2 linked regions of the Saccharomyces cerevisiae S288C genome follow. Changing the gene in region 1 together with any one later gene gives a genetic interaction. Each region holds a gene or a part of one and is shown in the gene's direction. Other genes may lie near its edges. The genes, in order: AGA1 and UBR2.

What was found.
Region 2: mutations in AGA1 (region 1) and UBR2 together harm fitness more than expected from each alone (negative genetic interaction), as found in Saccharomyces cerevisiae (2 studies listed by BioGRID).

Annotation. Positions count from the first base shown.
Region 1 is NC_001146.8:701,750-706,526, forward strand, and holds AGA1 (Aga1p), read left to right. Parts: upstream 1-1,949; coding exon 1,950-4,127; downstream 4,128-4,777. Other genes in the region: diphosphomevalonate decarboxylase MVD1, read left to right, coding at 146-1,336; PET494 (Pet494p), read left to right, coding at 4,390-4,777. UniProt on the Saccharomyces cerevisiae protein: Cell wall anchoring subunit of the a-agglutinin heterodimer.
Region 2 is NC_001144.5:186,921-194,967, reverse strand, and holds UBR2 (putative ubiquitin-protein ligase UBR2), read left to right. Parts: upstream 1-1,686; coding exon 1,687-7,305; downstream 7,306-8,047. Other genes in the region: ESCRT-III subunit protein SNF7, read right to left, coding at 1-516; IZH3 (Izh3p), read left to right, coding at 7,839-8,047. UniProt on the Saccharomyces cerevisiae protein: E3 ubiquitin-protein ligase which probably functions outside the N-end rule pathway, since it lacks the residues essential for the degradation of N-end rule substrates. Mediates RPN4 ubiquitination and subsequent degradation.

The DNA of each region.
Region 1 (4,777 bases):
GATTCTTGTGAAACTTTTCCACGATGCCGAAATCGCCGAAATGGCTCGTTTAGCCTTTTCTCGAAGATTGATATATAAAGAGCATCCATCGTGCTGGTAATGGTGATGCAAGATTGAAAATTCCCAGACAGTGAGCACCAGCACAATGACCGTTTACACAGCATCCGTTACCGCACCCGTCAACATCGCAACCCTTAAGTATTGGGGGAAAAGGGACACGAAGTTGAATCTGCCCACCAATTCGTCCATATCAGTGACTTTATCGCAAGATGACCTCAGAACGTTGACCTCTGCGGCTACTGCACCTGAGTTTGAACGCGACACTTTGTGGTTAAATGGAGAACCACACAGCATCGACAATGAAAGAACTCAAAATTGTCTGCGCGACCTACGCCAATTAAGAAAGGAAATGGAATCGAAGGACGCCTCATTGCCCACATTATCTCAATGGAAACTCCACATTGTCTCCGAAAATAACTTTCCTACAGCAGCTGGTTTAGCTTCCTCCGCTGCTGGCTTTGCTGCATTGGTCTCTGCAATTGCTAAGTTATACCAATTACCACAGTCAACTTCAGAAATATCTAGAATAGCAAGAAAGGGGTCTGGTTCAGCTTGTAGATCGTTGTTTGGCGGATACGTGGCCTGGGAAATGGGAAAAGCTGAAGATGGTCATGATTCCATGGCAGTACAAATCGCAGACAGCTCTGACTGGCCTCAGATGAAAGCTTGTGTCCTAGTTGTCAGCGATATTAAAAAGGATGTGAGTTCCACTCAGGGTATGCAATTGACCGTGGCAACCTCCGAACTATTTAAAGAAAGAATTGAACATGTCGTACCAAAGAGATTTGAAGTCATGCGTAAAGCCATTGTTGAAAAAGATTTCGCCACCTTTGCAAAGGAAACAATGATGGATTCCAACTCTTTCCATGCCACATGTTTGGACTCTTTCCCTCCAATATTCTACATGAATGACACTTCCAAGCGTATCATCAGTTGGTGCCACACCATTAATCAGTTTTACGGAGAAACAATCGTTGCATACACGTTTGATGCAGGTCCAAATGCTGTGTTGTACTACTTAGCTGAAAATGAGTCGAAACTCTTTGCATTTATCTATAAATTGTTTGGCTCTGTTCCTGGATGGGACAAGAAATTTACTACTGAGCAGCTTGAGGCTTTCAACCATCAATTTGAATCATCTAACTTTACTGCACGTGAATTGGATCTTGAGTTGCAAAAGGATGTTGCCAGAGTGATTTTAACTCAAGTCGGTTCAGGCCCACAAGAAACAAACGAATCTTTGATTGACGCAAAGACTGGTCTACCAAAGGAATAAGATCAATTCGATATGTAACATTTTTCTTTTCTTTTCTTTTCCTTTTTTTACAATAGCTAATTTACGTTTCCCTACGGTATTGGTCGGAACGACCAAGCTTCAATTTATAAATATCTTAATTTTAACAGCAGTTACCACTTGAATGAGAAACTTTTTGATGCCTACTCTTTTGCTTTTTCATATCATGACCTCCCTACATGCTTCGGAATTTCCTTATTCGTAGCTGTCTAACAGCACCACTTAGCACAAGTACGTCCACCCGTTTCATACTTAAAGATCTCAGCAGCCACCCAATCTACATTTAGGGTACCTGTCACATATCTTCTCAAATTTTAGGTTAGCTTTCAATTGTAAAGTCTCTTTTTGGATATTGCACGTTTCAAGTCAAAACGCGGCTGTAACATAATTTTCTGAAACAATATTAAAACATAGTAATGACTTAAAACAAGCGACTATCGCAAATAAGCAGTTCCCAGCAAGCAATTAAAACGTATATAAGCGCAGAATAATGATCTATCATCAATAATTATCGTGAACTTTTCCAGTATTTACGTTCATCTTTGAAAAACGGCGAGCATTAACAATAAAAGCTAAAAAAACCAAAAAATTTCAGATGACATTATCTTTCGCTCATTTTACCTACCTGTTCACAATATTGTTGGGATTAACTAATATTGCCTTGGCATCTGATCCAGAAACGATTCTAGTGACGATAACCAAGACAAACGATGCAAATGGGGTTGTTACAACTACAGTTTCACCCGCGCTAGTCTCCACATCCACTATCGTTCAAGCTGGCACTACGACATTGTATACGACTTGGTGTCCATTGACGGTATCCACTTCATCTGCTGCCGAAATAAGTCCTTCAATATCGTACGCTACTACCCTATCCAGATTTAGTACTTTGACATTATCTACAGAAGTCTGCTCCCATGAGGCATGTCCTTCGTCATCGACGTTGCCAACCACCACCTTATCTGTGACTTCCAAGTTCACTTCATATATTTGCCCTACTTGTCACACAACCGCTATCAGCTCATTATCCGAAGTAGGAACTACAACCGTGGTATCATCCAGCGCCATTGAACCATCAAGTGCCTCTATAATCTCACCTGTCACCTCTACACTTTCGAGTACAACATCGTCCAATCCAACTACTACCTCCCTAAGTTCGACATCTACATCTCCAAGCTCTACATCTACATCTCCAAGCTCTACATCTACCTCATCAAGTTCGACATCTACCTCATCAAGTTCGACATCTACCTCATCAAGTTCGACATCTACATCTCCAAGTTCGACATCCACATCTTCAAGTTTGACATCCACATCTTCAAGTTCTACATCTACATCCCAAAGTTCTACATCTACCTCATCAAGTTCGACATCTACATCTCCAAGCTCTACATCTACCTCATCAAGTTCAACATCTACATCTCCAAGTTCTAAATCTACTTCTGCAAGCTCCACTTCCACTTCTTCATATTCAACATCTACATCCCCAAGTTTGACTTCTTCATCTCCAACTTTGGCTTCCACTTCTCCAAGTTCAACATCTATTAGCTCTACTTTTACTGATTCAACTTCATCCCTTGGCTCCTCTATAGCATCTTCATCAACGTCTGTGTCATTATACAGCCCATCCACACCTGTTTACTCCGTCCCTTCGACTTCGTCAAATGTTGCAACTCCTTCTATGACTTCTTCAACTGTTGAAACAACTGTTAGTTCACAAAGTTCGTCTGAATATATCACCAAATCCTCAATTTCTACTACTATCCCATCATTTTCCATGTCTACATATTTCACCACTGTTAGTGGAGTCACTACAATGTATACGACATGGTGTCCTTATAGCTCTGAATCTGAGACTAGCACATTAACCAGTATGCATGAAACGGTTACAACAGACGCTACAGTCTGCACTCACGAGTCTTGCATGCCCTCGCAGACAACAAGTTTGATTACATCTTCTATAAAAATGTCCACTAAAAACGTCGCAACTTCTGTAAGCACCTCAACGGTTGAATCCTCATATGCATGCTCCACATGTGCTGAAACGTCACACTCGTATTCTTCCGTGCAAACAGCTTCATCAAGTTCTGTAACACAGCAGACCACATCCACAAAGAGTTGGGTAAGTTCAATGACAACTTCGGATGAAGATTTCAATAAGCACGCTACCGGTAAGTATCATGTAACATCTTCAGGTACCTCAACCATTTCGACTAGTGTAAGTGAAGCCACGAGTACATCAAGCATTGACTCAGAATCTCAAGAACAATCATCACACTTATTATCGACATCGGTCCTTTCATCCTCCTCCTTGTCTGCTACATTATCCTCTGACAGTACTATTTTGCTATTCAGTTCTGTATCATCACTAAGTGTCGAACAGTCACCAGTTACCACACTTCAAATTTCTTCAACATCAGAGATTTTACAACCCACTTCTTCCACAGCTATTGCTACAATATCTGCCTCTACATCATCACTTTCCGCAACATCTATCTCTACACCATCTACCTCTGTGGAATCGACTATTGAATCTTCATCATTGACTCCGACGGTATCTTCTATTTTCCTCTCATCATCATCTGCTCCCTCTTCTCTACAAACATCTGTTACCACTACAGAAGTTTCCACTACTTCAATCTCCATACAATACCAAACTTCATCAATGGTAACAATTAGCCAATATATGGGCAGTGGATCGCAAACGCGTTTGCCATTAGGAAAGTTGGTCTTCGCCATCATGGCAGTTGCTTGCAATGTAATTTTCAGTTAATATCAGAACAATTTAATTCATTTATATAAACATATACAATCAATCGAATAAAAATACAACAATGTAATGAAAACGCTCTCTATTGATATGTATTTGCTGACGCTTATAAATTTATTAAAGTTTTATTTTAAACCGTTCTAGTGACTTCACGCGGGGAGATACATCCAATAGTAAATTACAAAATAAGGAAAGTATAAAACAAACGGATAACAACAGTAGCTTGGAGACAGCAAAGGCACCCGAGCAGGCGTGGAAACACACGATGCATTTGAAAAAGGGGAAGAGGAGTATTAGCACAGTATGGCGACTTTTATGGAAGCGTTTTTATTCCGTAAACTCTAAGACGAATATGCATTTTTCTCGAAGTAGGAAGAAACCAGTGACAAACTTCACAAGGACAAACGGACTTCTCCTGAGCTGTAATGGTGATACATTCCCATATCTGCGTACACTGTGGAGATACTTCAATGCGCCTGGTAATTTGATGTTTGTCACAACTAATATTGTCGCATTTATGGGCATTGTTACGTATAATACGCTGGTTACTATCAGCAGTGAAAGAGCATTCGAAGAGCAGATGATGGCGGCACAGGTGAGCCTGGCGAAACAGAGAGAAGAGCTCGAGACTACGGCCCTCAGCTTGCCACGAG
Region 2 (8,047 bases), on another chromosome or scaffold:
TTGAGCCAGCATGTCCAATTCCTCGTCCAGCTCATCTTCATCCACCTCGTTTGCCCCAGTAATTAAAGGCCTGGATATAGCGTCGCTTATTTCATCTCCTAATTCGACTTGCTCCCTTATCTCGTCCATAGTTTCATCCACTTTATCTATGTCAAGGCCACTGTGAATAGTTTTCATTGCCTTAGCACCTTCCTGCATAGCCCTCATTGTCTCTAGATTTAAGTTTGCACTTTCTATAGAGAATAGCTGCTGTTCCATAGACTCCATTGTGCCTTCTACCTTACTTAAAAGTTGTTCGATTGTCTTCTTCTTTTTAAGTGCATTCTTCGCCATTACTTTATTGCCCTTCGTCAAAAAGATTCTAGCTTCATTCTCTTGATTTGTAATTTGAGTACGTAAATGCGATTGCTTTTTGGATAGAAGGTTGATATGCTCCCTCAACCGCACTATGGCCTTTGTTGGTGACTCTTTATTCTTGGCATTACTTGATGTCCAACCAAAAAGTGATGACCACATGCCTTATTTATCAATACTGTTATGTTTCTGCTGCTTCCGTCCGAAATACAATATCTTACCCTTTAGAAGCTCGTACTTCCCCTGCTCTGCCAACTATTCATGATTCGAAATCACCCACCGACTTATTTAAAAATCCCATCTTTTATCAAAAGGGTCGAACATGAATCGTATAAAATGATGCATATAACAAAAGCTATGTAGTATATATATTTGCTATTACTTACCAACATTAAGCATTGGTTAGTTACGGAACTCCATCGTTGTCGTTACTCTGCTCACCCCCACCTCAATAACTACTTTACATAAGTATGCGGCATATAACAATATGACAAGTCATCCTATAATTAAAAAAGTTAACTGTCACCATAGCATAACCGCCAAGCGCTAAATTAAGGGGGAAAGAAAAGAACGGTGTTGAACGCAAGCTATCTACCTCTTTCTTTGATGCGGTTGAAATATTATACTCGAATAACAACCATTTATAGAGGCGAAATCACTAGAATGGCCGGCTTAGTATAAACAATACCGAGTACGCCAATTTTATGGTACACAGTTTATACGTAATACTGATTTCCGACGAAGCCGCAATTGTAAGTCAAAACTTGAATTAATTAGTCTCACATGGCTGACATAACGAAGAATAAAATTAGGGAAAATACCGCCAAAATTTATCCCCCGTTTAGAGGAAGGTGATGACTCGACTCATCAATTTTCAATCTACATATAGCTACGTATTCATGCCACTCACTTCTTAGGATGTTAGATGTAACAAACCGAGCAATCATAAGGCCCATGTTATAATATTTGCGGGGCAAGTGTTACTGGTCCTAGATCCTAATTGCCCGTTTCTTCACTAGATGTGCAAAAAGCACACCATCACTTATCACGTTGTGGTGACAACGGCGGCAATTTCCAGTGGCGTTTGTTGAACTTTTAGGCGATATCAATAAAGAGCATCGTCAATGTACAGCTGTGGGGAGAAACCCAATAATCAACGCATTCATACTTTCAATTGCTTGGCATATTACTAACAACTCTATAAAAAAAAAAAGTTGCTCAAGCTTTTTAAAAAAAAGAGCCGGCTTTTTTTTCTAATTATTATCATTTACTCGTCTCTGATAGTAAAGGTAAGATTCGTTAACTAAATTAATAGCTACTTAACAAGCACGCATGGAAGATTCTGACCTGTCTATAACCAATATAAGAGATTTTCTTACCGAGCTCCCCAAACTCGCGAAATGCGAATATAGCGAAACCACTAGTTATTTACTATGGAAAACCTTAAATCTACGCCTTAAGCATAGTGATAACGATATAAACTGGCGCTCTCTCGTTTCAATACTCAATTCTGAAGCCTGGGAAAACGAAAAGTACAGAGACATACTAAATGGAAGAAAGTGGAGGACCCTGGAGTTCGAGAATGACCACCACTCTGTGGGTAATATGCATATTGGAACAGCGTGTACGCGTTTATGCTTCCCCTCTGAGACAATTTATTACTGTTTTACGTGCTCCACAAATCCATTGTATGAAATATGTGAGCTTTGTTTCGATAAAGAAAAACATGTAAATCATTCTTATGTTGCTAAAGTGGTAATGCGCCCAGAAGGCAGAATATGCCATTGTGGTGACCCCTTTGCCTTTAATGACCCAAGCGACGCGTTCAAGTGCAAGAACGAATTAAATAATATTCCTATTTCTAACGACAATAGTAACGTAACCGATGATGAAAACGTAATCTCCCTATTGAATTATGTTCTGGATTTTTTAATTGATGTAACTGTTTCATACAAAGAGGAGGCAGAAGCCCATTCAAGCGAGAGAAAAGCATCCTCCCTAATGCATCCTAATCAAAACAGCATTACTGATGATATAATGGAAAAACACGAATGTGAACCATTGGTCAATGATGAAAATTTTGTTTTCTTTGATAACAATTGGTCCAATACGAGAAAAGAAGCACATATGGAGTGGGCTATTCAAATCGAAGAAGAAGAGTGTAACGTACACTACATGGATTTAGCATCTACAATAACAAGAATTTTGAATACACCGGTTGAATATGCAATCTCAATAACGAAGGCTTTAGAAGATTCACACGATGTAGTGACTGTGCTACAAAGTGAGAATTTTTTCGAAATAGATCAAATAGCCAAGGAGTTTCAAAAGGAAAACATAGTAGTTCATGTAAGAAAAGCGGATGATATATTCAAGAGAAAGTTAACAGATGATTTAACAGATTGGTTATATTCTCTGTGCTTTAAGGCGGCCACGTCTTTGCAAAATAAATATGCTCTTAGAATTTCCATGCTAGATGTTTGGTATTCCCATTTTTCTAAAATGAGAGTATCTCCCACAAATACCAATCCTGACTTTTCTAAGATTAACTTATTAGGTGGATTCTTAATATCTAACGAAGATAGTGATGAATCATGGTTTAAACCTTGGTCATTAGAGAACATTGAAGACGAAAGAATTTCAAAAATACTCACTAATTACAATGAAAGGTTGATCAGAGCCCATTCGCCGAACACAGTAAGCCATTTCTACAATTTCTATGGATCTAGATTCCAATATATTATCATCAATTCTATTAATATCCTCTCAAAAAAATCTAAATTCAAAATGTTAAAGATCATGGCGTCATTATTCTCGTTAAGGGATGAAAGCAGAAAGTTTCTTGCCGCACAATATATTGATGTTTATCTATCGGTCTTGTATGATGCAGTTGCATCAGATGCTAAAGAATGTCAGGTAACTCTTATGAGTATATTAGGGCAATACACTTTCCAAGACCCCAGCATAGCAAATATGACTATAAGCTCGGGATTCATTGAACGAACTATTAGATTTGCTTTTACTCTCATGGCATTCAATCCAGAAGACTTGATGTCATATTTGCCCATCTCTTTATACAATGGCTTTAAGTTGCCCACCGAAACAATACGAAATCGAAGGACAATTATTTGCTTTAAAGACCTTTGTACGATAATGTCAGCGAACACTGTTCCGGAAGAACTACTTTCAAATGAGGCAATTTTTAACGCAATAATTGAGTCCTTCTCTGAATTCAGTAACGTGCTGCCATTGAAAAGGGAAACTAAAGAACACGTGGAGGTTGAAAACTTTGATTTTTCTGCATTTTATTTTTTTTTCTCATCAATACTAATAATGACAGATGGATACACACGTAGTATATCTTTGGTCAAAGATGCGGCTTTCCGTAAGCAAATCGTCCTTAAACTACTTGATGTTGCTCAAACCAGGGAATTTGAATCACTAACCAATTCTAGAAAAGCTATATCACCTGATAACGCATCAACGAATGAAAATGATTCGAACAAAGCGACTTTGTCTACAGTCAGAGAGACGATATGCAATTATGTCGCAGAGACTATTAATTTCCAGGTAGGTGTAAATACACAGTATTTTTTCAATCCAATGTCATATTTGTTCAAATTTGTTATTCAATGGAGTCAATGTGGTAGATATGAGCCAATTCCTGCTTCTTTGACAAACTACATTAATCTCTTCGAAGTTTTTCAAGATAAGCAGAAGGCTTTATATATATCAGAATCTGCTTTGTCAACCCTAGTCCTAATCGGGCAAATAAACGTCGGTTTCTGGGTAAGAAACGGAACTCCAATTACTCACCAGGCCCGGATGTATACAAAATACAGTATGCGAGAATTTACTTATATTAGTGACATTTTCAATGTGCAATTTAGTATGGCAATGTGCAATCCTGATGAACTGATGGTTACTTACCTCTCAAGGTGGGGTTTGAAGCACTGGGCAAATGGTGTACCTATGTATGATTATCCTGATACAGAAACAACTGTAGCCGTTGTTAATGAATGCATTCTGTTATTGATTCAATTGCTTACTGAAGTGAGATCATTGGTCATGAAATCATCAAAGGAAGGCTTCGAGAGAACGTTCAAATCAGAAATAATTCATGCCCTTTGCTTTGATACATGCTCTTACGCACAAATTGTTAACTGTATTCCAGAACATATCACCAAGCACCCTTCATTTGATATATATCTCGAAAAATACGCCAATTACACTTCTCCTGTAAGCTTGACTGACAATGGCATTTTCGTGTTGAAAGAAAAGTATAAAGATGAGATTGATCCTTATTATATAGGGTTGTCTTCCAGTAGGAGGTATGATGTAGAGAAAAATATCAGGCTGAATATGGCAAATTTGAAGAAAATGAAATATGAAGATACTTTTGTACCAGCAAAAAAGGTTAAAGATTTGTTGAAGAATACATTATTTTCTGGGCTGTATTCAATATCATCAGTGAATACTTTTGGTTTATTTTTGAAAAATACTTTAGATCACATTATAAAATATGATTATGACAATTTATTGCCGAGAGTGGTTCATTTGATTCATTTATGCGTGGTTAATAATCTGAATGAATTTATGGGGATACTGTGGCATGAATACGCAATTGTGGACACAGAATTCTGTCATTACCACAGCATTGGTTCTATCCTGTATTACTGTTTGTTGAAGGATAATTTTTCGGAATCTCATGGTAAGATTAGGGAAATTTTCAGGTATTTAATGGAAACAGCGCCTCACGTAAATGTAAACAGTTATTTGAGGGAGCAAACCACGTCATATACACCAGGAATATTGTGGCCTACAAAGGAAGATAAAAGCCACAAGGATAAAGAATTTGAAAGGAAAAAACATCTTGCTCGATTGAGAAAGAAAAAATTAATGAAGAAGTTGGCTCAACAGCAAATGAAATTCATGGAAAACAATAGTGTAGATACTTCCGATATTAGTACACCCAGAACCACATCACCTAGTTTATCTCCCACTAGAATAAATGCAGAGAATAGTAGTAACACAATCAACAGTTGCTGCGATGATGATTGCGTATTTTGCAAGATGCCGAAGGATGACGATGTATTTGTTTATTTTTCATACCAAGAACGGAACATATGTGATCATGGAATTGATTTTACGAATCCTACAGATGTTAATAGAATAAATTCGCTGTTCAGTGGTAAGCAAACAAAAGACAGTGCAATCCAAGAAAACCCCCAGGATGATGATGGAACGAGATTGAAATTTACTAGCTGTGAACCAGTATTAAGAGCATGCGGGCATGGGTCTCATACCAAATGTTTAAGTGGCCATATGAAGTCGATTCGCGGAATACAAAACCAAACTACAAAAAATATTCCATTATCGTATGGTTCAGGGTTGATATATTGTCCCGTATGCAATTCCTTAAGTAATTCATTTCTACCAAAAACAAATGATATAGATAAGAGAACTTCGAGCCAGTTTTTTATGTGTATTGAAAAGCGAAGTGAAGCGGAAGAAAACCTTGACCCAATGAGCTCTATTTGTATTAAAGCAGCGATGATTCTAGGTGATCTTCAGGGTAAAAAAGTCACGACTATCGAAGATGCATATAAAGTTGTTAATAGTGTTTTTATTAATACTATTTCAAATACTGAGCTCAGATTAAGATCGCACAAAAAGGAAGGAAAAATAGTGAATATGGAAAGAATATCCAGTCAGTGCATTTTAACCTTACATTTAGTTTGTGAGCTAAAGTCGTTTATTTACAAAAAATTTGTTAATTCAAAAACATTCAGCAGCGAAATCTCTCGTAAAATATGGAATTGGAATGAGTTTCTAATAAAGGGTAATAATGTGAATCTACTTTTGTATATGAGTCAAAATTTTGATAATATTGATGGAGGAAAAACCCCGCAACCGCCTAACCTATGTATCTATGAAATGTTCAAAAGAAGGTTCCATCAACTACTACTGTTGCTTGCAAGAGATATGATGAGAGTAAACTTTTACAAAGACTGTCGAAATAAAATCAAAATATCATCAAACGGATCTGAGGAACCATCGACAAGCTTTTCATATCTATTCAATACTTTTAAAAAGTATGTTGATCTCTTTAAACCAGACGACGTTCGGTTTGATTTTACAAGTTTAGAGAAAATTAAAGACTTTATATGCTCTCTATTACTAGAGTCATTGTCCATTTTTTGTAGAAGAACCTTCTTATTATTCAACATTCAGTATGATGATGATGGTGATGGTGATAATAATAATAACCGCAGCAATAATTTCATGGACGTCAAACAGCGTGAAATAGAGCTTATTTTCCGGTATTTTAAATTACCCAATTTAACTCACTTTTTGAAGGATTTTTTCTACAACGAACTAACACAAAATATAGAAAGGTATAATGATGGTAATGATAATTTGAGAATTCAGCAAGTAATATATGACATGGTGCAGAACATAAACACAAGAGCATATCCTTCACCAGAGCATATCCAGCTTATCGAACTACCATTGAACCTTTCCAAATTTTCCCTTGATAATGATGAAATATCGAATAAATGTGATAAATACGAAATCGCAGTATGCTTGTTGTGTGGCCAAAAATGCCATATTCAAAAAAGCATAGCACTGCAAGGTTATTTACAGGGGGAATGTACTGATCATATGAGAAATGGATGCGAAATCACCTCCGCTTACGGAGTTTTCTTAATGACCGGCACAAATGCGATATATCTGTCATACGGCAAAAGAGGTACATTTTATGCTGCACCTTATCTAAGTAAATACGGAGAGACCAACGAAGACTACAAATTCGGTACTCCCGTCTATTTGAATCGGGCGAGATACGCGAATCTAGCGAATGAGATTGTTTTTGGCAACATGATTCCGCACATAGTGTTCCGACTAACGGACGGCAGTGCAGATCTTGGTGGGTGGGAGACTATGTAGTTATCCAACAAATGTCTAGTCATTCAAAATTGCTACGAAATTAGCGTATCCGAAAAATCAAAAGAAATTTTATCTGTTTTAATTGGCGTGGGGAAGTGGGGTAGGGTCGAGGATCATTACGCTTTCTCGTGGGAAGGGACAGGGACGGACCGAAAAAAAAAGAAATGCCGCAGAAAAAGAAATGTTTTAGTGTGGGGTATGGGCTGAAGCTCGTATAGTGCAGGGTGACTTCACTTTTCTTTTTACCCTGCAGGAAATGGAGAAAGTGTTGATGGATAAGGTATATAGTCATAAGGTGACACAGCGTGGGTGTACATCTAGAAAGCTTGGCGATTCGAGCGAAGTGGTGGTTTACTCGTTTTATAATAAGAGTTTTTGGACATTATTTTTTCTTTAGGACACAGTTGATTCAAATTCTACACTTGTTTTGTCGTCTGGTAAAGTTTAGCCATTGTAAAGTGGACAAAGAAGAAGCTGCAACGCAGATAAGCTGAAAAATAGTTCACATCCCAACAGACAATCAAATTAAGTACATGATGGACTCGTCAAGCAAAAGCTTAACTCAGTATATACCCTCACCCATGGGATCTCTATCAAGGCTAAAGCAGAAGGGTGTGGACAATTTTCAGAAGGTGAAAAAATCCGGTAAATCCATCTATAATTACAACTACTCAAAATTCGTTCCTCATCCATTTTCAACTATTGATGAAAGTGTTAAACACTCTGAAAGTGGGCGGTATGA